Arabidopsis thaliana: one gene and its partners. The protein of the gene in region 2 interacts with the protein of the main gene of each other region in a pairwise test. Each region holds a gene or a part of one and is shown on either strand. Other genes may lie near its edges.

Region 1 (8,048 bases), on a different chromosome or scaffold from region 2:
ACACGAAAATCCGAAGTAACGCCACGAATCATAACCGGAACAAATTGAACCGGTCGGTTTTGCAGGTGACTGACGACCGTAAACGCAAACGGATGGAATCAAACCGAGAATCAGCGAAGCGGTCGAGGATGCGTAAACAAAGACACATTGATAATTTAAAAGACGAAGCAAATCGTCTCGGTTTAGAAAACCGGGAACTCGCAAACCGGCTTCGAATTGTTTTGTACAACATCGCATTAATGTGTACGGACAACAATCAGCTTTTGTCGGAACAAGAGATTCTCAGACGGAGATTCTTGGAGATGAGGCAGATTTTGATTTTCAGACAGCTTCAGCTGAATCCATCATTGATCATCAATCATCATCATATGATTTGAAAGAAAAAAAAATAGAAAAAAAAAAGTTTAGAACGGAAAAAAAAAATTAGATAAAAGCGAAGTATTTTTATTTCTGTGTCTCTTTTGATCACTCTTATGTGTAAATGAGAATATGAGTGTTACTTTAGATGATGGACTTCGTTTTTTTTTTGCTGTTGTTTCGTACTTGGGCCTCTCTAATCATATTTATCAAGGCCCATTAGTGAGTGGGCTAAAAGATATAAGCCTAATCAACTACTCTTGTTGACGACTACCACCCTATCATGTATTTAAAACCTTCTGCATCAAGTTGGAGTCGTCGGCTTTGAGGGTTGGAATGAAACCTCTACGTCAACCAGAGTCTTTCACAGACTTCCCAATTCCCATGTTCAGCTTGTTTCCTCTTTGATTCCTTCTTATTCCTCAAGTAGACAGACCGCAAGATTCTTCCTACAAGCCTTTTTTTTATCAAGTACGTAGACGGAATTAAGTATAGTTAGAAAAATATATGCAAATTTGAATAACGTATTATTTGTTTAAAATATATGCAAAACTATTAACCATTAACCATTAACCATTAACCATTTTGGGAAAAGATTGTTAATGATCTAACACTAAATTTATCATATGAAAGCAACAAGGTTATGTACTCCAAACTATATCTAATACTGTACTCTTGAGTCTTGAAGCATCTTGCATCTAGTGAAGATATTTATTCGGTAAGAATTGTCGTGTCTAGTGCAAGTGGAAGTGTCTGGATCGTCCCACACATGCCACGTGTTAGAATAAAATCTCCAAAAATTACACAAAAAAATCCAAATTAAAAACGTTATGGACCATCCATACATTGAGAGATTGGTCCTCCTCCACTCTTTATAATCAATTTCATTTTTTCTTGAAGAAAAACAAAAACAGGAATAAGTGAAAGGTAGGGTTAGAGAGAGAAGAGCAAAAAGTAGTTACAGGGACCCAAAAGTGGAGAAACAGAACCCAAAAAAAAAAAAAAAAAAACTAAAGTTGGAGACAGTTGTTTTGAAGAAGTGTTCTATGTCCAATCCACAAACAATGTTGCCTCTTGTCTGCAACTAGGAAACCTCTCGTCAAAATCTCTCAAGGATCACAAATTTTGTGACACTAACACTTGGTTTTAATTTTGTGGTTAGTGAAAAAAGTAAAAATTTGTATATTTTTCAGTTTTAGAACATTGTGTACATAGACTTCTTAAAACCAGGGATTTAGCTCAACGGCTATAAGAGGAACAATAAAATCAAGAATTTGATGATTGAGAACAAATAAGAGGAAAAACAAAGAACAAAGATTATGAAGAAAAAAACACACATCTCTCCTTTAGTTTCTTCTTGCTTTATATAGAAAGAAAACAGCAACAGAAACAACAATGCATCAAGTAAGAAAAACCAGAAACAGAGAAAAACAGAGTGTTTTTGTTTTCGCAATTGTCCTTAGTTTTTTTTTTTCAGTTTCACAGAGAAGGAGCAGTAGCAGAAGTATTCATCAGCGTGGTCGGGCCAAGCGGATCTTTTCCATCACCGTTCTTATTGTTGTTATCGCCAATGATGGTGCTGCTTGCCGAGCTGCTGTTAGAAAGAGAACCAAATGTCGACTTTTGCAAGACGCCTGTTGGAGAGGAACCAAACTTGGGACTATTGGTCGTGCTGTTTAGTACCTCGCCGAGTGGACCTCCCATGGAGTTGTTATTACCCCAGGAGATTGGTATCCAGTTATTCGTCTTTTTCCCGGGGTCAAGAAACTCGGTGTTGACGCCTAATCCCATGTGGATCGCGGGGTCAAACTCACGCGATAACCTTAAAGGTGAGAGTGCAAGTTTATCTTGAACAGGGGAAGATGGAGCCATAGGGATTGACATTGAGAGCTGAGTCCAATCCGATTTCAGCTCTTCGGGCCAAGAATCGACATTGTTGTGATTCCCCGCGTGCTTGGCTTGGTTGCCGAAGTCAAGATACGATCCAAAGCCTTTGGAAGAGGTTGCATACGAGGCTTGTTTATGCGACGGATTAAGTAACGAATCAGAAGAGATGAGTCCGAATTCAAAGGGATTATTGCTTTGTTTCGGATGAGTTTCCTTCGACTGTAAGTTCATCGTGGCAGGAAAAACCGAAGCCCCTCGAGAATTTTGAACTCTGCAATGCAACAAACAACCATTAAGATTTCTTGTTAATTTGTTACATCATTGAATCATCAAGAAAAGGAGAGTAAACAGTTCATTAAAGCAAAAAAATCCAAATATATGGAATCCTAAGCCTCATATTAATAAGGAGTGGTCACAATCATAAAAGATGTAGTAATAATGAATTGGTGGGTCTACTACTTACTCATAGGGCAAAGAAGTATTTAAAAGTTGAAAAAGGTATGAACATTAAAAACTTAAGAATATGCAGATAAGTTATATCAAAAAGGCAAGAGATGTTAAACGTTTTCACCTGTTAGCCAAAGAATCTGTAGATTGATTATTGGTATGATGTTGTGTTCCAACAGCAGCGGCAAGGCTATTGTTATTATCTGATCCACGCATCGCAACAGCTGAAGTCCCCGCTGCCGCTTTGGACACAGCAGCAGCGGTAGAAGCGGCAGCAGCAGAAGCAGCGGCGGCAGCATTAGTATTGTGGCCATTTTGGCCTTCCACAGGCTTTCTTGAACGATGGCGGCCTCTGTTAATATGTCGTTCACAGTACTTTTGATCGGGAACAGCGTCCCTCGAGCACCGCCATTTCTTTCCATCTGTCCGGCGACATCTCCCTGGCTCGGGATCCATGTTACCACCGGAAAAGCCCAGATGAAAAGAGCCCCATCCAACTTCATAATCACACAAAACAAAAAAATCTCTCAAGATCTCATAAAAACACCATTCCCCTAACAAAGCAAGAATCTTTAATAAACCCACCACCAATCCATACAAGATTCAATGTTCCAAAGGACTATACACTAAAAAAGATAGTATAAAGTTAATTCTTGGCTAATGTATTGGAGATAAAAGGAATCAAAACTATTGATCAATAATCTCAAATCTTTGAAAACAAAAGATAAGGAAGAGAACTTACAAGAATTAGGAGGCAAGGAACCATAAGGGAAAAAAGATTTCTTGAGAGAGAGAAGTAAACTAGATGGAACAGGGACATTGGCTGTGATATACTTATAGATCAACGCCTGTTGCTCTAGCTCTGCCCACTGAGTCAATGAAAAAGGTCCTTTTACTCCTGTCAACAAGTTTCCATGCATGTTGCTTGTGTTCATCATTCCTCCTAAACCATATCCTGACACCACAACAAAACCAATATTCCAAAATCAAGACTTCACTAAATCAAACTCTAATCAAAACCCATTTCTGTAATCTAACTCTAAGCAAAAGCCATATACTGATTTTCAAGAAAGTAAAAAAAAAAAGCAGAGTACTTTAGTTGTTTTTACAGTTCAGACCTGAGTTTCTACAGTACTGAAGATAAGGTGAGACATCTGATTTGCCTGAAGCAGAAGAGAAGCTAAGCATGTGTTCTTGTCCTTTACGAGGATCATTAATAGTGGTAGATCTCAGTAAAGGGATGCCTTGATGAAACGACAGCGTTTTAGCAGAGGCAGGGGAAGAAGAGAATCCATCAGTTGATGTTCGTGAGAGCTTTGAACTTCTCCAGCAATCTTCACCATCGAAACCGGATCTTTCTTGCTTGTTACTGAAACCAGATCCGAGTTCAGTTTGACCCGGAGAAGAAACGGTTTCATGACCAGAAACACGAACTCCAAGATCCATAAAAAATGGATTCAGAAGGAGACAAAGAAAAAGTAGTGCTAAATAATCACTTCAGAGATTTTTCCCATGGGAGGTAATCGCTTTGAGCTCAGTGAAGAAGAGAACCGAGAGAGAGAGAGAGACAGAGGGAGAAGAACGAGGCTAAGTTTTTTTATTTTATTTTATACTCTAGATATTATTTTTATTATTTTGGAGAAAGGATATTTATTATTTAATAATAACAAAAAGTAATAATTGTGGGAGTGAGAGATATGATATAGCTTTGGGTGGAGACAAAGAATGGTACCGAAAACACAATCAAGATCTCGGACATGTTACTACAAAGAAATGAAAACTATAATCAGATGCTCTACGTATGATTTTATTTTGATTTATGTATTATTTAAGATTTTAATAATTTTGTGGTTACTTTTGTGATATGAGAAAAATAATTATAGAGGAAGCAAACAATGAACTTTTTAAGATAAAAGACATGTGGACACCACGTGAGACATGTCTCTCTAGTTTCAACTTCAAACCCTAAGAAAGGAATTTTCATTTGCTTTTTGCTTTTTGCTCTAAAATTTGTTATGGTATGCATTTTTACCAAACGTTGCAAAGGGAAAGATGGGGTATACTTTAAGTGAGATTTTAGTATGAAAGAAGTTAGAGAATGAGATTGTCGTATTGAAATAATAAATATAGTATTGAGTTGAGTATCAAATATCTATCAGATTCACGTGGTTCCCAATTGTATTTGGACTGTCTAATGGTGTTCTCCAATGTACCCCAGCTGATTATAGTTACATGGGCCATTTATGTTTTTCAATCCTATCTCTTGGGTTTAAGTTTTATTACAACTTTTTTTTTTCAAATGGCCTTATCCCTTATGTAACATAAGTACATAAGTACATCATATTCATCGCTAGTGAAACTCATATCAATTAGGTTATGAATAATTTGTATTTGAAACCTTAAATCAGAAATTAGATAAGATTTTAATGGTTATATAAATTATATGAGTCAGTTCATTTTTTGCCAATAAGTTTTGAATCGGAAGTCTATAATCTAATATGATATTAGAATATGATTTATAATTCGTGTCTATCCCAATCGAAAATCGGTTCGATCCTAGCAAAAAAATTTTAGACAGCAGATTTTGCAAACAATTCTAGGGGCATTACTTTGAAAAATGTGCATCTTGAGTTTTGCATTCGTATCAAATGTTCAGAAATTCAAATTCACCTTACCTTTCTATTTTCCAAAAAGGTTAAAATGATTTTTTTTTTTTTAATTTGCTTTGAAATTAAGAAGTTGGGCTTTTCGATTCACATAAGCCTTTTCGTCGTAATCAAATATTAAAGGTGCCTAGAAGTCTAGGATGGGAGCTGGATCCAAACTATACTAAAACCATGCACGTGATAACCTGATACCCACCTCATATGAACCCAAACCATACTAGTTCTTTCTAAGACAAACAGAAGAAGAAAAAAAACACTTGCCTTTAAGCTAATAGCTAATGGTTTGGAATTAAACAATAGAAATATTTACTACGTTAAGTTGACAACGTAAAAACAAAAAATACTGTTAACTTATATTAGAATATTTTTTTATTAGTAATGGAATTTTTATTAACAGTTTAAAATATAATTATTACCCAAAACAAAAATGTTTTTATATTTTTGTTGATTTATAAAATATCTTATGATTTTTTTTTATCAAATATCTTATTAGTCATAAATATAAAATTTAATAGATATTAAAAGTTTACTAAAAGAAAAATAATTATTAGAGTCATATCAATATTTATAACAAAAATGAATATCTTTTGTTAACATAATCAATTTGTCAGTTAATTTTGTGGAACCCTGAACACAATAACCATTTAAAGGTTAAAAGTAGCAATATTGACAACTAAACGTTTTATTATAAGAATTCAAAACCTTAAAGGTATAAACTGCAAGTTTTTGCTCTATTAGATTATTTATGGGATTAAGAATATACATTTGATAAAATTAACAAACTATTTTGTTATTTTTTCATTCAAAAGAAAATTTATTATTACTCAAAAATACAATAATGTTACACTCCCATCACTAGCTACTACTACTAAACAGAAATTCAGTTTGGTTTCGAGTAGATCCATTTGATTTCAAGTACTTTGGATATAAAGATTTAAGATCCAATCAATTATTTGGTTTGGTTTTTTCTGGACTTGATTGATCCGGATCTCTCCAGATTCGGTTCGATTTCAAGTACCTGGAATATTAAAAAATAATTTAAAAATAGTAATTTTTTTTTATAAAAAACTAAAACTTCGATTTTTTTTTTTTTTTAAATATAAAAGTAATTACTTTCCTAAGTTTATGGTTTTAGTTTTTGGATAACTAGACTACATCAAATTTAAATATAATTATTATATTGGATATCTATTCGGATTTTATTCCGATATTTTGAGTATAAAAGTCTATAATCCTTTGGAATAATTTATCGGTTTGGAGTCAATTCAGAATTTTTCTTTTCTCGGTTTTAGTTCGGTTCTAGATATTTGATCTAGCAATATTCGTTTGTCTTAAACTAAACAAAAAATTATGAAACCATTCGTAATCAGGAACCTTCCAAGATTTCAATCAACTCTTAGATCTTCGCTTCTCTACACAAATCATCGCCCCTCTTCTCGATTCTCTCTCTCTACTCGTCGATTCACCACCGGAGCCACCTACATTCGCCGATGGAAAGCAACGGCGGCGCAGACACTCAAACTCTCCGCCGTGAACTCCACGGTGATGATGAAACCGGCGAAGATTGCGTTGGATCAATTTATAGCTTCTCTATTTACGTTTCTGCTTCTCTACATTTTGCGTCGGAGTAGTAATAAGAATAAGAAGAATCGTGGACTCGTCGTTTCCCAAAACGATACCGTATCCAAAAATCTTGAAACGGAGGTTGATTCTGGCACTGATGTGATCATCGTCGGAGCTGGTGTCGCCGGTTCCGCTCTTGCTCATACTCTCGGCAAGGCAAGTCTATAATCTCAATTTTTGATTTTTGCATTTCTCCAAATTTATTCATGAAAATTTATTTTTCTAAATTCATTTCAATAAATTTTAACATTTATTTTGTAATATAATTTGTTTTTGATTATATTTTTTGTAATAAGATCACAAAAATGATGTGATATTAGTTCCCGGAACATTGGAGATATATACTTGTCTGATTTTTGTGTGTTGGAGACGTAAGTTCTTGTCTGAAATTTTGGCCTTTGTGTGGTTATTGAAGGAAGGAAGAAGAGTGCACGTTATAGAAAGAGATTTTTCTGAGCAAGACAGAATCGTTGGTGAATTGCTTCAACCTGGTGGTTATTTGAAGTTAATAGAACTTGGACTTGAAGGTAGAGACTAACTAATGAGCTTAAACTGTTATATATATATATACTTGGAATCGATTTTTGTTCTATAGTTGCGTTTTGTGATTGTAGATTGTGTGAAGAAGATTGATGCTCAACGAGTTCTTGGTTATGTTCTCTTTAAAGATGGGAAGCATACTAAACTTGCTTACCCCTTGGAAACGTTTGATTCGGATGTAGCCGGGAGAAGTTTCCATAATGGGAGATTTGTACAGAGAATGCGAGAAAAAGCCCTTACTCTTTCAAAGTAATCTTTATATTGATTGTTTCTTTAATTGAATCCAGCTTGACTCTAACGGTTTGTTTGTGAATCAGTGTACGATTGGAACAAGGAACGGTTACGTCGTTGCTTGAAGAACACGGGACAATTAAAGGGGTTCGATACAGAACAAAAGAGGGCAATGAGTTTAGATCATTTGCTCCTCTCACAATTGTATGTGATGGTTGTTTCTCCAACTTGCGTCGCTCTCTTTGCAAACCTAAGGTGGATGTGCCATCTACTTTTGTGGGTCTTGTCTTGGAGAAC
Region 2 (7,004 bases):
AATGAAGAATCAAGTAAAAACAAAATAGGATTAAGGAAGGATAATTGTTTTTGTTATTAAGTTTATATAATTCGAATTATGGAAATTTATTTATGATTATTTTGGCGGGTCAGTTTGTTGAGACGTTTAAATACAGTCGGATAAGGAAATTGCTCACGTCGTGATCTAATTTATTTGTATTTATTTGACTTTACGTGTCTAGAAAGCTACATGTGATGTAGTCATTTACAATCAAAATCATTTGCTTTAATCCTTGACTTAATTCATTCTGTATTTCGGGTTTTATGAGTTTAGAAAAACCATATAAAACAAAAACTTATTTAACTCCCCTAGACCTATTAATAAATGAAACTACGAATCTCTAATCTTTAGTGTATTTACAGTTTTCCAACGAAATCATATGTTATAACACGACACGACCTCAATAGTCAATAATAAGTAGAATCATGTTTTGAACATGTCAAATGCAGCACTGATTCGAAAGAATAAAGAAAAAAAGAGTTTTGAATCGTAATTCTGCAAGAATTAAAGTGTAGTGTTTAATATATGTGGCATTCGCCGAGATCATCTTATAATAGAGTATGTGTCATACGCCGAAAACAATGTTGGACACTTGGACCTTTCCTTACTGATAAATAAATAAATTCATATCAACTAGCAAATTAGCATATTACAGGTTTTGGTTATAACAATTACTCGAGCTAGACGTATGATGAAATTCAGCAAACTAGTAGATTTGCTATTATATCTTCCCTTGTGATGATTGTAGTTTTGTCTCTTAATAAAACTAGTAATTAACGTTTCAGAAAACAATGCCCATTTTGGTAATTTCACAGAGATTTATCCAAAGTTTTTAAAGAGATAAGACGATAGAGTTGGACGACCGTCTTCCACCGTTGAATTCTTCTGGAACTGGAGTCCACTGTTTAAGCTTCACTGTCTCTGAATCGGCAAAGGTAAACGTATCAATTATTCTACAAACCCTTTTATTTTTCTTTTGAATTACCGTCTTCATTGGTTATATGATAACTTGATAAGTAAAGCTTCAATAATTGAATTTGATCTGTGTTTTTTTGGCCTTAATACTAAATCCTTACATAAGCTTTGTTGCTTCTCCTCTTGTGAGTTGAGTGTTAAGTTGTAATAATGGTTCACTTTCAGCTTTAGAAGAAAATGGCATCAGGAGGTAAAGCCAAGTACATAATCGGTGCTCTCATCGGTTCTTTCGGAATCTCATACATCTTCGACAAAGTTATCTCTGATAATAAGATCTTTGGAGGCAAGTTCTGCTCAAGATTTATCTAGTTTTGTGTGTGTTTTCAAGTTAGGGACGATCTTAATGGTTATCTTCTTGTGAAAATTTCAGGGACTACTCCAGGAACTGTCTCTAACAAAGAATGGTGGGCAGCAACGGATGAGAAATTCCAAGCATGGCCAAGAACCGCTGGTCCTCCCGTTGTTATGAATCCCATTAGCCGTCAGAATTTCATCGTCAAGACTCGTCCGGAATGAGAAAATAATAAGTTCAATGCTTTGATTTTCAGAATAAGATGAACGATGACGATGTTTTCTAAATCCGAGCTTGTACTAAATAACAATACATTACAACACGGTTTGCGGAACTACTCCACAGTCTATCTTCTGTTAAAAAACTCAAACAAGCTATTGCAAAAAGCCCTTACGAGACTCACAAGTCCTAAATATCAACAAAACAAAGCTTCTTTGGATCCTTTTCACTTGCCATCATCTTTTCCTTGTCCATCTGCTCCATCTTGCTTTCCTCCTCTAAGCCCCACTGTTAGCAAAGAAAGAAGTAATGGATACAAGTTACAATTTATGAGATTGAGTATTGTCTTAATAATGTAAAGAGAGTTACCGTTTCCTCCAAGACCGGTTTCTGGTTGTTGCATCGCATGCTGCATCCCGTTGTTGGTCATACCCATTGGTCTAATCCCCATGTGTCCTTGCATAGCTTGCTGATGTATCTGCTGCTGCTGTTGCGGATCCTGAAACTGGAGTGGGCTACCAAACTGTAAAGGACCCCTTGGAGCGAAAATCCCTGCAGGGGATGCTTGTGGGTGTTGCATGAAGTAGCTAGGTGGTTGCATCCCAGAATGCGGTGTTGCCATCTAACAGAAATCATACCCAACAGTAAGCAAACCCCCAAACAACATTAAATTTCTGTGATAGATCGCAATTGAGTTTTATCATCACAAACAACCTGGGCAGCGACAGCTGTAGATGGTGAAGGTCCTGGCGTAGGTGGTGGGGGTTGAGCATCAGCAATTGCAGCAAGATACATCAAGTTCTTCTGGAGAAGAGCTTGGTACCTGAAAATATAACAGAGCAAAAGATAGAATAACTATATAAACCTCACCATTAATAATAGTAATTCTAAGCTTCCATTACTATCTAAGAGACATAAGAAGATGGATAGAAAAGGTGAGACTTACTGGGCGCACTCAGCAAGTTTACCGAGATTCTGGTTTTCCATGATGGCCATAATCAGCTTCTTGTTCTCATCAAGGTACTGCGTTTAAGCAAAGGAAAGAGAATGACAAGGAAATGACGATGCAGCCTATCATCTTACCATGGAAGACATCAAGCCAAGAGAAAGTACAAAACAACAACATCAAGCAAGCATCTAACTTCAATGTCCATTCTTGAAAACCGGATTCAAAGTTTCCTGACCCACCAAGCATCTACTAATTTCCTAGTCCTAGAAACTGTCTCTTCTCATCATCACCAACAACAGACTCTCAAGTGTTGTGGAATTAACGAGAAAGATTCAAATGAAAACCCTAATTGCCACCAATTACAGTCAAAAGAGTATTACTTGCACTCAGAAGCCAATGATTTTGTCAGTACAAAAAAGCTCTAAGAGCCTCCTAAGTAGTGTTGAACAAATTAAGAGAGAGGGAGAGATATAGGGTGAGAAAGAAGGAACCTTTTGGATCTGTTCGGTAGTGATGTTGTTAGCAGGGGGAATCGACGGAACCATCGGAAACATTTGCGGAGACTGCTGCTGCTGCATCTTCTTCTTCTTTACTACTTACTTTGCCCCAACTAAACCCTAATTTCGTCTTCCCCAAAAAACCCTCGACAAAACCCAGACCGATCCAAACGCAGGAAATGATTGCAAGCTATATCTATATATATTATAGAGAGAGAATCCTGCAATTTATTACTTGGATTCACCTGGATGTCGAACCACCTCTGTGTGGATTTTATGACCAAAAATGCCTCTGTCTCTCTCTCTCTCTCTCTAATTTGTCTTTACAAAACTCTAAACGAAAACATAAAACATTAATTAATACAGCAACGAGCAACCTCTAACCAAATTAGAAAGTTTTGGATATATTTGGGCCAATGGGAAAAAAGGACATATTTGGGCCTAAGACGGTTCTAAGGCCCATGGACCATCGAGAAAGTTACATTGCAAAGTACTACATTGAGTCAGTTTCTTCCTTCTTCGCCTAAATTCGAAATTTCGAAACCTCAGACACACTTACAGAGAGACCAAACGGTAACATACAGTAGCTTCTTTTTCTTATTCGTTAAGAAATCTCACGTAAACCCTTCGAATTTCTCAAATCTTCACTCGGAATCTGAAAAAAAATGGTGAGTGATCTCCCGCTTGATGAAGATGATATCGCTCTCCTCAAGAGTCCTTATGTAAGCACCCCTTTTAGAAGAAACCTTTAATTTATTTTTTCTCGAATTTTAGTCTTTACTCGGATGTCGCTTGTGATACGTTAGAGAACAATTTGATATTTTTTACTGTGTAATTAGAACAAATTATGTCTTAATTGGTCTTAGATAACCTTAAATTGGTCGATTTAGTTCAATTTTGTGTAAACACTCTTACTTGGATTTATCTTCTTCTCTATCTTAGATAGGTGAAATTGTTGAAGAAATTGGCTTTGTGAGAGAAAAGCGCATTGCTCATTGTATTGTTCAGTGTGATGATGGTGGTGATGAGGACGTCAACTCTGCTCCAAACATTTTCACTTATGATAATGTGCCTCTTAAGAAGCGCCACTACCTTGGGACAAGTGACACTTTCAGAAGCTTTGAGCCGTTGAACGAACACGCATGTATTGTATGCGATATTGCAGACGATGGTGTAGTACCTTGTTCTGGGAATGAATGCCCTCTCGCTGTTCACAGGAAGTGTGTTGAGCTTGATTGTGAAGATCCTGCAACCTTTTACTGTCCCTATTGTTGGTTTAAGGAGCAAGCTACTAGATCCACGGCTTTGAGAACAAGGGGTGTTGCAGCTGCGAAGACCCTTGTTCAATATGGATGTAGTGAGCTGAGGAGTGGAGATATAGTCATGACGAGAGAAAACAGTCAACTAGAGAATGGTTCTGATAATTCACTACCAATGCAACTACATGAGAACCTTCATCAATTACAAGAACTGGTCAAGCACCTTAAGGCTCGAAATTCCCAGTTAGACGAGTCAACAGATCAATTCATTGATATGGAGAAATCTTGCGGAGAAGCTTATGCTGTTGTTAATGATCAGCCAAAAAGGGTACTATGGACAGTCAACGAAGAGAAGATGTTGAGGGTAAAACCACCACACTTTTTTCTTGAAATACACTTTTAGCTTAAACTTATAGTATATGTTTATTTTGGATAGGAGGGAGTGGAGAAATTTTCTGATACAATCAACAAAAACATGCCTTGGAAGAAGATTTTGGAGATGGGAAAAGGTATATTCCACACAACTCGTAATTCCTCCGATCTTAAGGACAAATGGAGAAATATGGTGCGTATGTGATTCCTTTCACCATAAAATCCTTAGAAGTATTAAATGACGCATTTGATATCAAAAACATTAAGACAAATCCTAGTGACCTTTTGAATTGGCAGTATAGTAGTGTGACGACTTTGATGTTAGTCCTTCCTTGTAATCGCAGTTTCGGATTCCTCCGTGTAGATCTTTTGGTAACAGTAGTCCTTATAGATGATGTTCGCTTTGTATCCCTTATGTTGATATTAAGAGAAGATAACGTGTCTTTTGTAGTAGCCGTCCCACTCTGTTAGTCTTTTGTTTTGTACCCTTCTTTAAACAAAACAGAGGATTGAGAAAAAGAGAATCATATGGGAATTATGGATATAATTTTGAAGAACTTAAAAATAGGTTAATCTTTTAAGACTATGGGGAGATAACTTGTCGCACAAGTACCAAATGTTTCGGAAACAAAGGTGAAAAAATCTACAAACTTAACAATAAAACCACAAGTCTTCCATTTGTACGGAGGTTAATAATAATTAATACCAAATAAACGACAACACTTGAAGTAGTCAAAACTTTTATAGAATTATCTTGATTTGGTTGAGGTCGAGATTGACATCATCATCGTCGTCGCAGAGATCGGAGATCAAAATGGAGAGGGAAAGAAACGCAGGAGTGATGAAGAAGATGAGTCCAACAGGAACCATCCAAAGATTAGAATTTGTGGGATGGTATTTGTAAAGCCAATAACTTAGAAACAATCCTCCACATATATTCACAATCATCGAATACAAGAACACCATTGACGACGTACTCTTCTTCTCCTTCCTTGTCCTCTTCTTCATATTCGTGTTCATGCTGCTTTCGTGGTTCATTTGCAAGAGGATCTAAACAAGTTATGATTCGCCTTTTTATTAATTAATTTACTGGGAGTTAGGTGAAGTGAAAGAAAAGATGGATGACAATAATAGATTCTATATTGTTAGAGTGTATGAGTAAGTAAGTATATATGCAGTCGGGTTCCGGTTCGTGTAGGTCGGTTTAGAAAGTATATTTCAATTAAACTCGGTTTTTAGTCGTTTTTCTAACGAAATGTGTTTGGTTTTTAGAGATTATTTATGAGCAAAACTGAGTTTGTGTTTGGGTTTTAGATAGGGTACCTAAAACTCGATTAAACATTTAGACCAGTTTCCAGCTGGTCCGACTCCGATTTAGGTTGGTCAATGTATGAAAGGCAAATCTAAACATAAGACACATTTTATGTTATGTATTACTAAATTACTACAAAAAAAACTCCTACAACTCCAAAATACACAATGGTTTAGATTTAGATATACATGTTTTTAGAACTAAAATTATTGAGGTATTTTATAATAGTACTCCAAGTTATAATTTCTGTTACGAGGCGAGAATAAACGTGGGAGAGGAAGGAAAAAAAGGTGCCGTGCGGTGCAACTAGATTTTACATATTTGTACACATATTTCACGATTGAATCTTTCAAGACATTATATGCTTTATCAAATTTTATATATATAACAATTAGATAAGAAACACAATCTGACCCGACTCTACTATTTATAATTATACGTATGAATCTCTAACTTCGTTACTAAAACGGCAAATACTAAACCCTGAAAGGAAACTGTGTGAGAAACAGTTAGGCCCCTTGACCATCTTTGTTCAACGTTGTCAACGAAAAAAAAATGGAACCATAAAGGATAATTAATTGTATCACAAAAAGACAAACACAAATTATTGAATATACCATCACTTATCAGTATATAATTTTATACAAATGCTTTAAATAACAAATATTATGTAGAAAAAGAGAAAAGAAACTTAACTTGGTCAATTTGATCATTTGTGTAAACGATGATGCGGAACATATGCGATAATAATGTTATTGGATGGCAAAAAAAAAAAAAAGTATTTTAGTTGGGCCCTAATGTTAATTCACAATCAAGCCTAAATTTGGTTAATGGGCCAATCTTTCTTATATATGTAGGACTCGGATGTTCGGTCTACTCGAACTATCTACAAACCAAGCTAAACCGAAAGTAAATACAAAATCAAACCAAATAATAGTTTGGTTTATATAGGTTTTAAATTTTAATCCATATAATCCAATAAGTTCCAACTCATAACCAGGAAAATAAAAAAAATGTGGAATGAAGAAGTTCAAATTGATAACCAAATGAATTGCTTTCATATGATGGTGACGTGATGTTTTTGTACCGGACTCAATTATTGGAACGA
Region 3 (8,109 bases), on a different chromosome or scaffold from region 2:
TTTAAACATTATTTACGAAACAATATATTTTGATTCAAGATTTAACAATTAAATTATTGAATTTTTCACATTATATTTCTAATGAAGAAACTAATCTAAAAATACTCTACATTTGATGTATCCTTGCAATCGAAATATTCAATGTTTCCGTGTAGCAAGCAAGTATATATACTTAACTTTTTGGTCATAGGTTAACTTATAGGGTTCTTTACAAAAAGCATTGGTCTCATCTCTCATGCAAAGCACCAGTTTGGTTCAGTTAATTGAAAAGTATGTTCCTTAGATTCTCTGATTGAAACGATGATTCTAGTCCCTCTCCAGTGTGTGTCCATCCCGTGTTAAAAGAAATTGACAAAACTAAAATAAAGAAAGATTGCCATTCTCTTTAAAAAAAGATTGTCTTTCTCTTTAAGAAAGATTATTAAACAGTGAACATAAAGAACCACAAATTACTCTATTCTGACTGTAAATATCATAATTAACCAGCATATGTTCACATACAATTTTTGTTTTATCTAATCACTAACTAAAATGATAAGTTTATTGAAGATAATATGGAATTGATAATTTTTTGTTTTTTTTGTTGAATCTTCTAACAAGAATGAGAGAAAACTATATGAAGTATTCAATTCCAATATGAAAAGTTAAACTTTTTCTAGGAGTGTAAAGAAATATCTCATTCTTGAATTTCTTAAAACGTGTGAAATATGGACTGTTTTCTTCATCACTAAGCTATTACTGGTTACATAATTTTCAAATTTGTTAATTTATTTTTGTTATATGGACCCAAAACAAGCTATTGGTGCCCTACACAATATTTCCTGCTTTTACAAAAGTTGGCTCTGCCAAATAAAAATTTTCAAGTTTTTAACCCCACCATAGTGCAACATGACTCAAAAGCTGTTTATACAGTATAGTCTACGGTCTTACATCGTATTTTGGAAATATGACCAAATTACCCCTTGGTTTGTCCATAAATATCAAGCTCCAACAATGCAATTCTTCCCTTTTCCCCTTCTAATTTCTCTCATCTCTCTATTAGAAAAATTATTAGCAATTATGTTGTCCACTGCACCGGCCTTTTCATTCTCCGAACCGGGTTTGGTTAATCAATTCTCGGGTTTCCAAACCGGGTTCACTCCTTGGGAATGGGATTGCTCTGATCTCTTTTTCGTGGACCAAATGTCTCTTGAACCGGCCATCCCTAGTCCTTGTTATGGTGAATCCGACACTGGTTCCGTCAAAATTAATTCCGGTTCTCATGACATGAAAACCGGTTCTGACGAATCTTGTGCCGGTTTCGTCAAAATTAATCCTCGTTGTGACGACGCCGACATATCAAACGATCTACCGTGCTCTCAAGCAGATGAACCGGACTCGGACGACACAAAACAATTGACAGCCATCACAAATTTCGGTTCGGGAGAGAATAACCATAACCGGAAAAAAATGATCCAACCGGAGATGACCGACGAGCGGAAGAGGAAGAGGATGGAGTCAAACCGGGAATCAGCGAAACGGTCAAGAATGCGTAAACAAAGTCACATTGATAACTTACGAGAGCAAGTAAACCGGTTGGATTTAGAAAACCGTGAGCTCGGGAACCGACTCCGGTTAGTTTTACACCAGCTTCAACGAGTGAATTCCGACAATAACCGGCTCGTGACAGAACAAGAGATACTCCGGCTAAGATTGTCGGAGATGCGTCGGATTCTGATCATTAGACAACTTCAACAACAGCAACAATGGGAACTACATAACCGGAGAATGATCATGACTGAACAAAACCACCCTCATCTTCAATGATAGATCAAAATATTTAAGAAGAAAAAATATCGAAAAACTTAGAACAATAACCAAAAAAAAAAAGCAAAGCAAAAAAGAAACTCTCGCTATGTCTCTCTATCTCTCTATGTAAATGAAATGAAGGTTAGGAAGAGAAAATGATAGTTTTCTAATTTTCCTTTCCACTTTCTCGTTTTCTATATGTTGTGACTCCACTACACTAGAGAAGAAGGAAAACAAAACAGATTTTTATTTTGGTTTTCTTTTTCCCACTCTCGTGTATGAGATAAATAACTTAAAGAGTTATTAAATTAATACAACGATTTACATTATTACTTAGTGGAAACTGGAAAGGCTTTATGCGCATTGACATCATGCTACAACGCCCATAATTGTTGAAAAGATACACTGTATTTTAAAGTACTAAACCAAGCCTAATAAACCGGTTGCCACGATCCCAAATACTGTAATATCACTACATAATATATCTTAATCGTTAAAATGCCTATCTCGGCCCAAATAAAGTTTTGGAACATAAAGCCCAACAATAATTTAGGTCCTCAAGTCCATTTTTGTTACGACCCTAAAAGTTTTCCCTTGATGAAAGAGCAAAGATAAACCCTAGTTTGTAACTGAACAATTAGAATAAAGATTGTGATTATATGAAGTGATTATCAAACAAATGATTCAGAAATCGGAAACGAAGAAAGAATCAGAAGAACAACGATTTTCTAATTTCCTCTTTAAGCTTTAGAAAGACGAAACAGAACATAATGAAAGAGAAAAAACAGAGCTTTTCTTTTTTTGTTTCCTGCCGCAGGACTTGGTTTCAGTTTTCAGGTTGTGTAATGAAAGTAATCGCCATTGTGTCTGTTGTTCTCTGCAATGGGGCTGCTCACGGAGCTGTTGTTAGAGAGTGAACAAAATGTGGACTTTTGCAAAACCCCTGTAGGAGAAGATCCAAATGTTGGACTATTCGTTGTACTGTTTAGTACTTCACCTAGAGGACCTCCTAAGGAGTTTCCCCATGAGATTGGTATCCAAGTATTCACCTTTTTCACAGTAGGCTCGATTGTTGTTTCATCGGTTTGGATCGATAGGTCAAGCTCGCGGGATAGCCTGAGAGGCGAGAGTGTTGTTTTTTCTTGAGCATTGTTGTTGTTGTGTGTGGAGGAAGGGGATGATGATGCTATTGGAATTGACATTGAGAGCTGTGTCCAATCTGATGTCAGCTCTTCAGGCCAAGAATTGTGATTGTGATTCCCTGAATGCTTCTCTTGGTTGCTGCTGAAATCCAAGAACGATGATCCATAGGTCTTTGCGGTATTCGGGTTGAGTAACGAATCAGAGGATATGTGTCCAAACTCAAAAGGGTTGTTGTTGTTTCTGTGTTTCTGATGAATAACCGGAGATTCCTTGGGTTGTAAGTTGACGGTGGAAGGATATATCGAAACTCCTCTGTTTTGCAAGAGTCAGTAAGTGAGATATGAACTAACAATGAATATGCAGAGTATTAAAAATCTGTTTTCACCTGTTGTTAGGTAAAGATTCTGTAGAAGGATTGATATATTGACTTCCAATGGCGAGGCTGCGGTTGCTTGATGCACGGGCATTGCTTCTGTTAGTATTACCAGCGACAACAGGCTGTTGTGGTGTAGTAACCGCTTTGGATGCAGCAGCGGCGGTTTGGTTTTGGCCAGATTGGACTTCCACAGGCTTTCTTGAACGATGACGGCCTCTGTTGATGTGTCTTTCACAGTATTTCTGATCAGGAACGGCGTCTCTTGAGCACCGCCATTTCTTCCCATCTGTTCTGCGGCATCTCCCTGGCTCAGGGTCCATGTTACCGCCTGCGAAACCGAGATGGAAAGTTCCCCATCCGACTACACAAAACCGAACATAAACACTCATTAACCATTTATAACAAAATTCCCTATGAAAAATCCTAAAAGCAACCATTGTTGTAAAGACTTTTCAACCAACAAGACAAATCTTGAAAACCCTATGAGCAATGTTATGAAGGATTTAGCACCAAAATGACATAAAAGACTAGATAAAATCTGATTCTTGGATTAAGCAACCACACCACAAATGAGTTGATCAAAACCCCAAAACTTTCACAAACAAGTGATCGCTCAATGGAAAGTTATGTGCAACTAGAAATTGTGTTAAAGAGATGGAGCTTACAGGAACTAGGAGGCAAAGATCCGTAAGGATAAAAAGACTTCTTGATAGAGATGAGCAAACTAGAAGGAACAGGGACATTGGCTGTGATGTACTTATAGATCAACGCCTGTTGCTCTAACTCAGCCCATTGAGTCAATGTAAAAGGTCCTTTAACACCTGTGAAGTTCCCTTGCATGCTCATGTTCATCATCATTCCACCAGAACCATATCCTCCTGCATTCCACAGCAAAAATGTAAAAAATTTGATTATTTTACACAACCCATTTCACCAAAATCCAATCAATAAAGAGAAGACATTATCAAACCTGAGCTTCTAAAGTAAGAAGGTGGAGGAATCTGGTGAAGAAACGGCGAGAGAGAGTTCTTGTTATTACTGCTATTATCCAAACCGACATATTTACTGAAATCAAGAGCGTCTGGTTTATCTGAGAAGCTAAGCATTTGTTCTTGACGGCGAGAATCAGAGGAAAGAGGAGAAGCAGATCTCATGAGAGGAATGCCTTGGTGAAACGACATCGTTTTGCAATAAGCAGCTGCAACAGAAGAAGACAAGTTTTCTTCTTCTTCCGCTCTAGTTGTCGTTCTTGCTAGCTTCAAGCTTCGTTGCAAGCAATCCTCACCGATGAATCCGGATCTATCTTGTTTAGTTCCTATAAGCTCTTTTAGACCAAGTGACTCATTTTCATTACTAGTAACCGACCCAAGAACATGAACACCAATATCCATAAGAAGTAAGTAATATAAAAAGAAAAAGAAGGAAAAAAAGTTAGATAATGACTTGAGAGATAGTTGCCATGGGAGGAAGATAGCTAAAGATGAGAGAAGAGAGAGACAGAGGGAGAAGAACGAGGCTTACTTTTGATTTTCTTGAAAGAGATATATATTATTATGTGTTTTTAAAATAAAATGAAAATAGTTGTGGTGAAGCTTTGGGAGGAGACAAGAATGGTACCTAAAAACACAATCCGGATCTCGGACATGTTAGAACATATTTATCCAATGCTTTTTCATTAATTTTGCTTTTAGTTCTTCTTCTTTGTTTTGTAAAGTTTTCTTTGCTTGCTTTAAAGGTACAAACTTAGCTTCCAATTTGTTTCAAGTTGTGTAAATTTATGGTCCCAAATTAGTTGTATAATATGGTGGTAGTTTCTCTATAAGAAAACGTAGGCTATTTCTGTATTATTTGCAGTACATATTTCCCAATTTGTAGGCATTTTTCTTTATGGGGGTTATTATTTTAGATTTTAGTAATTTTCTTTTGTTGTGATATATGTGCATATAGGGAAAGCTAGCTGTAACATTGTTAAAAAAAAGGGAGAAACTAGCTGTAACCTGTGGAGTTATTAGATTATTTTTGTAATGTTCAAAAGGAAAAATATTAGTGGTTTTAGAAATATAGCAACATTTTTACTTATAGTAATAGTCTTAATTCATAGAGGAGGTGAATATATATTGATATATTTTGTAATTTGTAATGCCTGTTTTTACCAGAATTTGCAGAAGAAAACAAAGGGTATACTTGAAGTGAGATTTTTGGAATATTATACTATATACACATATATTCACACTTTTAGTGAGATTTTTAGTCTAGGAAACAAATAAAAGAATTGTCCTATTCATATAATAAATAATAGTATTGAGTGGAGTACCAAATATTTATCAAGATTCACGTGGTTCCAATGATATTTTTGGACCATCTTCTTGGTCGTCTCCCCGAGGATTTAAGTTACATATATCGGATGGGCCAATTCTATTCTTGAGTGATATTACATCAACGGTTATTGATCCATGTGTTCGATTACATATGTAATCAGTGCAAGTAAAAAGTAGTTTGGGATATAACTTTGCTGGATTTTTTTTTTTTTTCTTTTTTTTTCTTCACTGGATTTATTTTCTTTGTTCATTAAAATTGCTGGACTGATGCGGTTAGTAAGCGTTATTTGCTTTGACCATAAATTTAGTGACACTCCGATTTCAGTTATGCCTTCGGGTAATAATTTGCGAATTGTCTTTTATTTATCATAAAATTAATCTGATGGTTGGATCATTGGTATGTCATATAATAGAAACAGTAAAACCAATGAACAACAAAAGGATTAGATAATCTTTTTTTCACAATATAGTATGAACTTATGTGAATGATATATACAGACGTCGTACTCATGATTTTAACTTGAAAACCATTCAATATCATTCACTTCCAAACTTTGCTATTGAACTGTCCATCACAGTTTCTTTATAATTTTTGTATAATGTTGAAATATGAAAAAAAAAAAAAAAAAAAAAAACACTAAAACTATATCAGCAAATTGACTAGCTTGTGGAGCAAAGTGAATATAATAACAATGGAAAAAGATAAGAGTGTTACTACCAATACCATCCAACAAGAAACGTATATGTTAGTTAAAGCTTTGCGTAAATGTCCTAAAAAGAAACTAACTCACAAAAAGTCACATGTGGTGTTCATGCATCGATGATGTAAATAATTACCACTCCACATAATATTATGTAGTTAAATACGACATTTTGGTTTAATTTCATAATTACGTCAGATCTGATTTTCTTTTAGTCATGCTCCATTTTGTTCGTATTATTTTTTTCTCTTGTAACTTTAGGATTCGTAATATTATTGACGAGAGATTAAGTTATAGCAAGTTTTAACTTTTAAAGATTTTACTGTTTTGCAAAATCAATGGTTGATAGAAAACCCAAAGAAGTTAGCCAATGTACTAGCTAATAACATTGTTTTACATTAATTTTTGCGGGCTACCTTTTGTACGTTTCTTAGTCCCCTCTCTCTCGCATAGGTTTCGACCTATATCCCCTGCTTACAAAACCAATGACAATAAACAAAATCAAAGATAATAAAACCAATTATCTATGCAACCAAGGCATTTTTGGGAAAGGGATGCAGACTTTAAAATATCCGAATATTTTACACTTCTAGATAGTCTACAAATAAACAACGGTAAAATTATACGAAATTGTATATCTATACTATGTTTCATGGATCATAACATATGAAAATGTAGATGTGTTGTACATAGTTTACATTCTTTAGATATGATTTGTGTGATAACCAGTAACAGTATTTATTTGATTTATTACTCTCTTTCATTTTTTTTCATTTTTTGAAACAAATTATATTGACTTGGTCTTCAAAGGCTGAGTATGTGACTCCACAAATACATAGCATCCTATTATTTGTTATCTTAATCGCGTCACATTAATTAATTTTCATCATGTACCACTCGTACTTGTAGAGCATTTACTACATTAGTTACACCAATCATTCGATAATAAGAAATAAACTTAGGAGAATTGATTAATTATTGATGTAACCGAGTAACTGGACTACTTAAAAATATATCGTTTTCAATTTTCATTATCTTATATGATGATATAGATGCGTTTCGTTTTCAGTGACAATAATAGTATTTTAGTATATTATTAACTAATTAACTAATATCGGAAATCATAGTAAGCAGGAGGAGGAGCGTGGTGTTGTCAGGACTATAAAACGTATTTGTGGAATAAATCCCTTTACTTAGCCAAGGAAAAAAACGTGCAACAGTATATATAAATATAAATGCATGCAAATATTATGAATTGAATGTAAAAAAAAACACAGATAAAACCCTAAAATCGAACTATGAGTATTTTCCTTTCGTATGGTAGTTTCGGCCAAAACCAAAATTGGCTTTGAGTTTTTTGACAACTCAATTATTGGGTACAGATTGAAACAATTGTATTTTGTTTTCCCAAAAAAGCAAATAATTAGCCAAAAAAGAAACAAAAACATTGGGAACAAGGAAAAAAATAGTGGGTAAAAAGGTAAATTTGGGTAAGATGTGGTGAATAAATGAAGTAGGAGGACATTGGGTGGCGTGTGGGAGGATGTGGGACACATGAAGAGTGTCGACATGATAGGTGAGAGATATGATACTAGATAGGTTCTTTAGTCTTAGGGTTAGACTTTTGTGACTTTTGTTAGACACCTACCTAAGTGGTTTTGTCGTCAAATCTGTTTTTAGGACTTTGGTTTTGGTTTAAGTTTTTAGTCAAAGCCTAAAAAGCTCATGCGCTACTCTACTATACACATGTGGACTCATCTTATTTAATTTCCTCTCTTTTTCA
Region 4 (8,234 bases), on a different chromosome or scaffold from region 2:
ACAGTTACTCTGACTACCGTATCGGTTGCTCTGTTCCCGGAAAGTACAAAATCGTTTTGGACTCTGATAACTCTTTATTTGGAGGCTTCAACCGGCTAGATGACTCCGCGGAGTTTTTCACCTCTGTAAGCCCTTTAACTAAGCGAGAACGAAAAGAATAAACTCTTTTCTCCAAGTCGTTACAAAGGAACTAATAATTTGCTATACAGGATGGAAGGCACGACGATAGGCCTTGCTCCTTCATGGTGTATGCACCGTGCAGAACCGCTGTAGTTTACGCTGCAGTAGATGATGATGATGATGATGAACGTTCTTCTCTTGTCCCCATAGGCCTGTTACCCGAAGATGTTTAGGAGCAAAGACAGTTGTCCGAGTTTACCTACTGTAAGCTTCTTTGTACTACAAAAATTTACTCGTTGATCTTCTTCTCCTTTAGTTTTCGCTTGCAGCATCATTATAACTTAAAAATGAAATAAAAAGTCGTTGCACTTCTACATTTTGCCTAAGCTTCATCGTAGATCCTATTTAGACATGAATTTCCAAAAACAAATCTTTGAGGATATAAAATCTGCAGAGAAAGGCTACAGATACAAGGGAAATCTTAAAAGAAAAAGGGAAGAGGACAACAAAAGCCTCCCCTCTTTATACAGGAAATTTGGATAAAAACCAAAAACACAGTAAAAACCGCATTGTTGTGTTGGTTTTACACTGGTCAATGAAAGGCTTGTGTCGAGACACCAAGCTGATGGAGAACACTGGTTGGGGAAGATGAGGAAGAAGATCTCAGGGCTTCGGCCAATGGTCCGCCCATGTTGTGATGATGGTGGTTGGAACCTCCACCGCTCCACCAGCTCATGTTTTGCTGATCTCTCCCATTGTTGTTGCTCCGGGCTCCCTCTTCGTTGCCTGTGGACAGCTTCAGAGAGACGTCTGAGGAAGAGTTCCCGGGCATGGAGATGGAGAGACAAGTGGCTGAGCTCATGGGGCTTGAACTATTGTCAGCTTCTTGGAGCGAAGAACGAGGCCAATCGTCAAAGAAGGGCCTCAGGATGTGTCCTCCATCTGATCTGTTGTTACTGAATCCGATGTGGGACTCGTATGGCCTCTTGTTGTTCATGTTGTTGCTTTCTTGCTTCATCTCCGAACAACTGTTAACAGAATCCACATCTCATTGGTGAAAACAAAGCACAAAAGCAATAATTTGTCAAAAGAGAAACCACATTTAGGCTTCAACAACAAAGTTGCAGACAGTAGTAGCCTTTATATTAGTTTATAGGCTTTAAAAGTACCTTTTAATGTGGGTTTTATAAGAATTGATTAAGCAGTAAATAGAAATAGAATTATAAAGTGAGTGTTTTGTATATCATGTGTTGTGTGTGGATAGGGGAGGTGGGTGCAGAAGAATCTAAAAGCTTTAACTTTTCTGCAAGATATGAGACATATATGGGTCAGCTTTCACTAAGGTCCTACCATTTCTCTCTCTTTCTATTTTCTCTGTTTGAAAAGTCTCACACCTAGCTTCAAATTATAGATTCTATCAAATCCAATGTTATCATTATCTCTCAACACAATAAGAAAAAAGAAAGAAAGATATTTTCACAATGAAATCAAACTCATAATTCAACAAACAAACAAACCAACCAACCCTAAAATGATAAGGATGTGTCTCTCAATTTCCAACATTACCCCTCTCTTCACAACATCGCTATGAACATACAAACCAAGTTGTGTATATCATTAGTTCATACTTCATACTAATAAATCAAGAATCAGTATTGCTTTAAATCGATTTCATTATTATTCAAAACAATTGTCTAAAATCTCAACCATGAATCTTATTGGCTCAACACTAAAGAAATAAAAAAGTCAATGTGTTTAAGTTTAATGTTTTGACCATAAAGTTCAACAGCTAAAACAGACAGACCTAAGAGAAAAAAAAACAGTTTCTTTTTATTACCTTTGACTAAGGTGGAGAAGTTCAGATGAAGAGTTAGAAGAGCCAGAGAAGAAGAAAGATCCTCCTTGACCAACCACTTCCTCACTACCACCACCACCACCAAAAGCAAACGTAGATGTTGTTGTTGCTGTTGTAGTGGTGGCTGCGGCTGCTACTGATGAAGCCATGGACGTGGCAGTTGCATTGACGGTGGTTGGAGTTTCCACAGGCTTTCTTGAACGGTTGCGGCCACGGTGCATGTGGCGCTCGCAATACTTGTGGCCAGCGAAGACGTCTCTTGAACATCTCCACTTCTTACCATCCGTTCTCCTGCATCTGCCTGGCTCAGGATCCATCGCTGCCCTTCCCAAATACCCTGTTTTCAACATTCATATCACATATCAGATCAATAACAAGATTCTAATCCTACTTAATCCCATTCACACATGTTTAGATCTTCAAGATTGGCAAAACGAGATAATATACTAATATTGAAAGTCTGGATCTTGGGAACACAACTCCAACACCAGTAGCACAAAACCCATTTATATTTAAAAAATAGATAGATGAAGACTGTTCTCGAGACTCACAAGCAGGTTGGTAATGAGGTAGGTGTTGAAGAGGATGGTGAAGAAAGTAGGAAGGAGATAGATGGAGAAGGCTTTTCTTGATTGGTAAAAGGAGCTCCTGAGGAACAGCAGCACCAGCCAACATGTACCTGTAGATCAGAGCTTGTAGTTCAAGTTCTTGCCACTGTGCCCAGCTAAAGAAGCTCCCCATCTCTACAAAAAGGAATCAAAATCAATTAAACACAAACTATATGAATGAAAAGTCTAATTCTTTATCAAGAAAGATAAGATAAGAGGAAGAAAAGACTCACTGGGGAACCTGGAGGAAGAATCAGGAGACAAAGAGGAGAGTTTAGAAGAAGTAGGCTCAGGGGTAAAGAGAGGAAGAGCAGTAGAAGTTGCAGTGTGAGAATGAATCTGGTCAAAGACATGTTTTGGTATCTTAGCTGCAGAAGGTTGTTCTTCTGACTCTGTCTGATGTTGTTGCTGCTGCTGGCTTCTCCATTGTTTCAGTTGCAAATCCATTGAAGAAAGAGAGAGAGAAGTGTTGGTTACTTTAAGGATAATGGTTTTTCCCCTTTTTTGTCTTCCAGGGTTCTGATTTAATAGCTTATGAAAGTCTTGTTGGTTGGGTTACGAAGAGCAAAAGAAAAGAAAAAAGAACTTTCTTTGCTCGAAGGAAAAAGCTTTGTTCTTGGTAGTCAGTTTCTGTATCTGAGCTTCTTCTGCAGAGAGAGAAAGGACAGAGTAGAGGGAAAGAGGTTTTTAATAGAGAGACTTGCGAGAAAAAGACAGTGAGACAAGACAGATGCGGGGAGAAAATACTATACAGTAAAAAAGACTACTACTATAGTATAACTCTTTATTAATTGTGTTCACAAATCTCTCTTCATTAATCTCAAAGACTATTTAAAATAATTGGTTTAACATTTGTATCAATAAAAAAATGAAAAGCAAGTCAGAAAACCCAGAAAGAACCACTCTGCAAGATGAAGATGGAGAGATAATAACCTGCAGTTTTTCTGTCTTTGCTGCTTTGGAAATACCAATCTCCATTTTTATATTAGTATAGCTTTTTAATTTGTTTTATAATGAAAACAAAAGCCTACTTGTTAAGAATATTTAATTAGTCTTTTAACCAAGTAATTTAGATTATTTAATGAGTAAGCGTTACGTCGATATAATTTGTAATTTGCATTTGTGACAAACCTAACTACTTTTAAATTTGAATTAGTATAAAATTCGTTTAGGTTCCTATATTATCATATCATACGGCACTAGATGTAGTACTTGCCACTCTATTTTCTTTTTTAACTGATTAATTTTGTACCTTCGTTCATAGATCTAGTCCGAAAATGGTAATATTAATTCGGGTAGAATCGGCTGAATTCTTGGTGGAATGAATCTGTTGCAGAAAAACTGAAAATATTATTTTGATATAATTATTTTAAAGCGTTATGCCAAAATTGACTGAAAAATTAATCAAACTAACATAACTGGTGGGAAAAAAAATGGAAACATGAGTTTAATAAATTCATCAGGCTAGTTGAACATGGATGGAGCCTCGAGAGAGAATCCCGGGTTAGCAGCAGCGGGAGGTGCGGTGCGTGATGGGAACGAGAACTGGGTTGGGGTTTTTGCTTTGAATATCGAAATCTGTTCAGCGCCACTAGCAGAGTTGTGGGGACTCTACTATGGGTTACACATAGTCTGGGAGCAAGGAATAACACGCCTTGAGCTGGAAGTGGATTCGAAGATCGTGGTTGGGTTTTTACAGACAGGGATACCGGATTCTCATCCTCTATCTTTCCTACTACGTTTGTGTTATGGCTTCATATCAAGGGACTGGTTAGTCCGTATTTCTCACGTGTATAGGGAGGTCAATCGTCTTGCGGACGGGTTAGCTAACTATGCGTTTTCTTTACCTCTTGGTTTGTATGTTTTTAATTCAGTTCCGGATTCTATTGCTTCTTTTGTTTTGGAGGATGTAAATGGGCCTGCGTTTTCAAGAACTATCCGAATGTAATTTCGTATTTTCTTTTTAATAAAATTGGCGGATTTTCCCCCTTTTCCTACCAAAAAAAAAAAAAAATCATCAGGCTTGAGAAACATTAAAAAAAATGGTTGTAAATGTTTATATTTTAAGTGATAGTTAAGTGAATTATAAATATTAAAAGTATTCAAGTAATTTCTCTATTAGCAAAGTTGCAGAGATTCTTGGAAGTTTTTTTGCCAAATAATTGTTAGCTATTCAAGATTTTTGTCAAAAACTTTTATACGGCGTGGTACGAGTTCATGTTGTCTTGAGTAAACATGACAAATGCATCCTTGTTTATGAGAACTCTTAGAGCAAGGTTAATCCACCTGAGGGTTTTTGAGAGGCCCGGATGCTTGAAGAGTATCGTATGAAGTTTTGGTTGTTGGAAGACCTCGGATTGCGTCATTGCGGAAATGTTAAAGCGAACGGCTTCCACAGAGTCTCAGCATATCCAAGGGAAAAGTCTCATGGGCGTCATCGCCTATACGTATTGCATTATTAGCTAGTTCAAAGATGTGGGAAAATATTTCATCTAACTATCACTTCTCTGTTTTTTTTTTTTTTTTTGACATCCATCTAACTATCACTTCTCAATCACTATGTATCTCATGTTTTCTTTAACAAATCTAAAAGAAAATGAATTCATGAATTGTATGTCAGAATGTTTAGCTAAACTCAAACCCCGAAGCTTTAAAATAATGGTAGAACGATGTCTCAAGAGTCTTAGGAGTCATGTATTAATTATAGAACAAACGACTACTTATGAGTTATTATATCTTTTACAGTTTTACTATAGACTGAAACCAAAATTTTCTGGTTCAAATTTGGTTAAGGTAGGCAAACTTTTGGTCCAATAATTTCTTTCATCTTTTATCAACGGTTAGATTTTGTATTCTATTCAATTTTGTATACAACAATTACATTCTTTTTGGGTTGATTTAGGTTTTACATTCGGTTCTGACTGAGGTAAAAAAAAAGATAGAAGAAGAGAAAATGAAGTAAAGAGGAGAGAAGTAAGTAATAATGAGAAAAGAGAAGCAGGTGGGCTGTGTCAGAGAAAGCTCAGAAGTAAAAAGCATAAAAGTGAGTAACCAAGTGGGTGGTGAGGGTTTGTTTCTCTTTGGGCTGTGATTCATCTTTGATTTGACTACTCATAGTACTTCTTCTTTTTCTCACTCTTACCCCCTCTCTTTTCCTCTATTTTTCACTTTTTACCCTCATAAAATCTTTATTCACATTTTTCTCACACTCCAATTCATTTAACAAAATTTTAATCACATAATACAAAATCTTAATCACATTTCCCTTTTCACGGTTTATCTTTCTATAATTTTAATAAGTTTCATATTATCTGATGAAAATTAAACATCAAACTTTGTTATTTATAATTTTAGTAAATAGATTTTTTTTCTTTTTTATTTCATAAGAGATTAAGTTATTTAATGTAAAGCTTCTCTTGACTGTATAATATCTTAACTATATTATTCTTATAAAATTTCTCAAATTTCAATAACCGTATTATGTTAGTCTACAAAAAAAATTATATTACATCAATATTCTTACATACCAAACTAAGATATATATTGTCCAGTTCTTTTCATGGCATATGTATTTTACATGCTCTATTTTAAAAAATTACTACGTGTTTCAATATCAGTATTGTTGAAATTATACACCCTCCAACGAGTAAGGAGATAACCCATTACAATGCATTGGCACTGATCTACATGAACATGACTGACCAGATTTAACCATTCGAGCAAACAAAATAATAAGTCAACTATATTTTGAATAGTCACAAAACTATACATCGTAATTACAAAACTATTTCTGACATATAAGATTAATAGGTTAAAAGAACCACCGTCGAATCGTTGATGTACGTAGTAGTAGTATCGTATTAACGAGGCAATGATATAACTATCAATATTTTTCGTAAGAAAACACAAGTTTCCTTATTCTTTTCTTACGTCGGCGATAAAAGTTAATGTCGTACTTTGATTTATGAAATTGTGATGGAAAATTGTTTTAATTAATTAAGAAGAGAAACGAGTTATTTGTACAAACAAATCTGAAAATATAGAAATAGAGCAAAGGACAGAGAATAAGAAGAAGAGGCAAAGGAGGGCGAGAGTTCACATGTTCAAGAGAAGACAAATACGTTTCTCTGACACAAATCTGTCAGACCAATATTTTTAAATATTTTATTGTATAGTTTTTATTTTGTTTTGTTGTATGAGAAAGAAACGTATATTATGTCTTTATTACCACCACAAGGGGTCAGGCTCCGTCCACTTGGGGTCCCAATTTTTTCTTTGTTACGAGTTTTTTTTTGTAGTAAAAGGCAAGTCACGCCGGCACGCGAGCCCTCACGTGATCCCACGTGCTTTATTTATTCTCTCCATACCAAAATTTCTTTTCCTTTGTTGTTTGGTAAGGTTTTTTCTTTTTTGGCCAAAATATGATATTGGCGAGATTGAAAACATGTATATTTTTAAAAAAAATGTAGGCGTAAAAATTATGTTACTAACACTTCATTAAGCATATGCCAAGATTTTTAAATTAAAATTTATATATCACTATTGGTCGTTTTTTTTTTTGTGTGTGACAGCAGCTCACTATTGGTTGTTTATATTAACCACATACTAAATAAGGCTAGCTACTACCAAACTTGGACCAGAACCTAACACATGATGTTATTTTTAGTAATATGAAAAAAAAGAAACGAAAAGGAAAAAGGAAAGAATAGATCTTTCTGGTGAGAGAGCATACACAACACATTGGTGACACAAGGTATCTAAGGGCATGACCGCACGTGTCAACATGCATCAAACATGCGATCTTTCAATATTAGTATTATATATTTAGCAAAGACGCAAAAGAATCCAAGGCAAAGACTACTTCGCCTGCATGTCATGCCAATCTCTCTCTATATGTTTTCTAATCAATATACTAGATTACTAGACAAGTTGTTTTCTAATAAGATCTCTCACATATGAGCCAATTTGAGCCAAAACATGATATGATGGATAAAGCTTATTTGGGTATTGAAAGTATAGAGACTGTCAATGAGAAAGTAGTCATTTGGGCCCAAGTACAGAGATTTAAACCTTATCAGGAAAAGCCCAATCCAGTACAAACTTGAAGAAAAAGATTGATCTCCTTGTAAGTTGCAACTGGTAAAGAATAGGACCTTTGTTCAAGGTCTACTGTATTGAGATACTGAATTAGTATAAACGGCCACTTAAAACTACTTTGTATTTGTTTAGGCCCAAAACATTGGACTATCATGTTGAGAAAATAAACACGAACGCAACAGAAGTTTCCTACTTATTATATAGCCCAACAAATATTGATCTCTTTGCTTCCAATGAATCTTTGTTAAGGCCCAAAAAATACAAAGCCGAAACTACTTCCATCTTGTACTATTTTTAAGTTTATTTTTTGGAAATTTTACCATGTATGATTCAGATCGTTGGTTTAAATTTTTACAACTAGAAAATAGTATATACTCTATTAGCCTATTATGATATTAATTAATGGGCAATATTTCGATTAGTTTACGTGTAGAGTGTAGTGATAATGTATTTAGGTTTTGACCGGCAATAATGCATTTGTAAGAAAAGTCTTTGGACAATAATAGCTTTGGTCAAGTCAATGTAGAACAGAAGACTAATTTCTCTTGACAAAA

Evidence for each region.
Region 1: the proteins of GIF2 (region 2) and GRF1 interact in binary tests that used the Arabidopsis thaliana proteins (3 or more experiments, as listed by UniProt).
Region 3: the proteins of GIF2 (region 2) and GRF2 interact in binary tests that used the Arabidopsis thaliana proteins (3 or more experiments, as listed by UniProt).
Region 4: the proteins of GIF2 (region 2) and GRF3 interact in a two-hybrid assay, tested with the Arabidopsis thaliana proteins (2 studies listed by BioGRID).

What each region holds. Positions count from the first base shown.
Region 1 is NC_003071.7:9,724,930-9,732,977, reverse strand, and holds GRF1 (growth-regulating factor 1), read right to left. Parts: upstream 4,499-8,048; 5' UTR 4,138-4,498; coding exon 3,810-4,137; intron 3,647-3,809; coding exon 3,434-3,646; intron 3,189-3,433; coding exon 2,816-3,188; intron 2,516-2,815; coding exon 1,837-2,515; 3' UTR 1,677-1,836; downstream 1-1,676. Other genes in the region: bZIP6 (basic leucine-zipper 6), read left to right, coding at 1-377; SQE2 (squalene epoxidase 2), read left to right, coding at 6,708-7,136, 7,396-7,507, 7,595-7,769, 7,838-8,048. UniProt on the Arabidopsis thaliana protein: Transcription activator that plays a role in the regulation of cell expansion in leaf and cotyledons tissues.
Region 2 is NC_003070.9:68,613-75,616, reverse strand, and holds GIF2 (GRF1-interacting factor 2), read right to left. Parts: upstream 3,261-7,004; 5' UTR 3,035-3,260; coding exon 2,948-3,034; exon of another isoform or gene 2,703-2,947; coding exon 2,601-2,702; exon of another isoform or gene 2,531-2,600; coding exon 2,454-2,530; intron 2,331-2,453; coding exon 2,222-2,330; intron 2,130-2,221; coding exon 1,877-2,129; intron 1,796-1,876; coding exon 1,734-1,795; 3' UTR 1,521-1,733; downstream 1-1,520. Other genes in the region: AT1G01170 (ozone-responsive stress-like protein (DUF1138)), read left to right, coding at 1,174-1,279, 1,367-1,512; AT1G01150 (Homeodomain-like protein with RING/FYVE/PHD-type zinc finger domain-containing protein), read left to right, coding at 3,619-3,675, 3,896-4,576, 4,649-4,777, 5,332-5,502. UniProt on the Arabidopsis thaliana protein: Transcription coactivator that plays a role in the regulation of cell expansion in leaf and cotyledons tissues.
Region 3 is NC_003075.7:17,722,912-17,731,020, forward strand, and holds GRF2 (growth-regulating factor 2), read right to left. Parts: upstream 4,999-8,109; 5' UTR 4,699-4,998; coding exon 4,278-4,698; intron 4,186-4,277; coding exon 3,973-4,185; intron 3,669-3,972; coding exon 3,317-3,668; intron 3,244-3,316; coding exon 2,622-3,243; 3' UTR 2,426-2,621; downstream 1-2,425. Other genes in the region: bZIP7 (basic leucine-zipper 7), read left to right, coding at 889-1,806. UniProt on the Arabidopsis thaliana protein: Transcription activator that plays a role in the regulation of cell expansion in leaf and cotyledons tissues.
Region 4 is NC_003071.7:15,269,588-15,277,821, forward strand, and holds GRF3 (growth-regulating factor 3), read right to left. Parts: upstream 3,529-8,234; 5' UTR 3,031-3,528; coding exon 2,817-3,030; intron 2,719-2,816; coding exon 2,527-2,718; intron 2,517-2,526; exon of another isoform or gene 2,313-2,516; coding exon 1,958-2,312; intron 1,149-1,957; coding exon 713-1,148; 3' UTR 501-712; downstream 1-500. Other genes in the region: SBE2.1 (starch branching enzyme 2.1), read left to right, coding at 1-125, 210-353. UniProt on the Arabidopsis thaliana protein: Transcription activator that plays a role in the regulation of cell expansion in leaf and cotyledons tissues.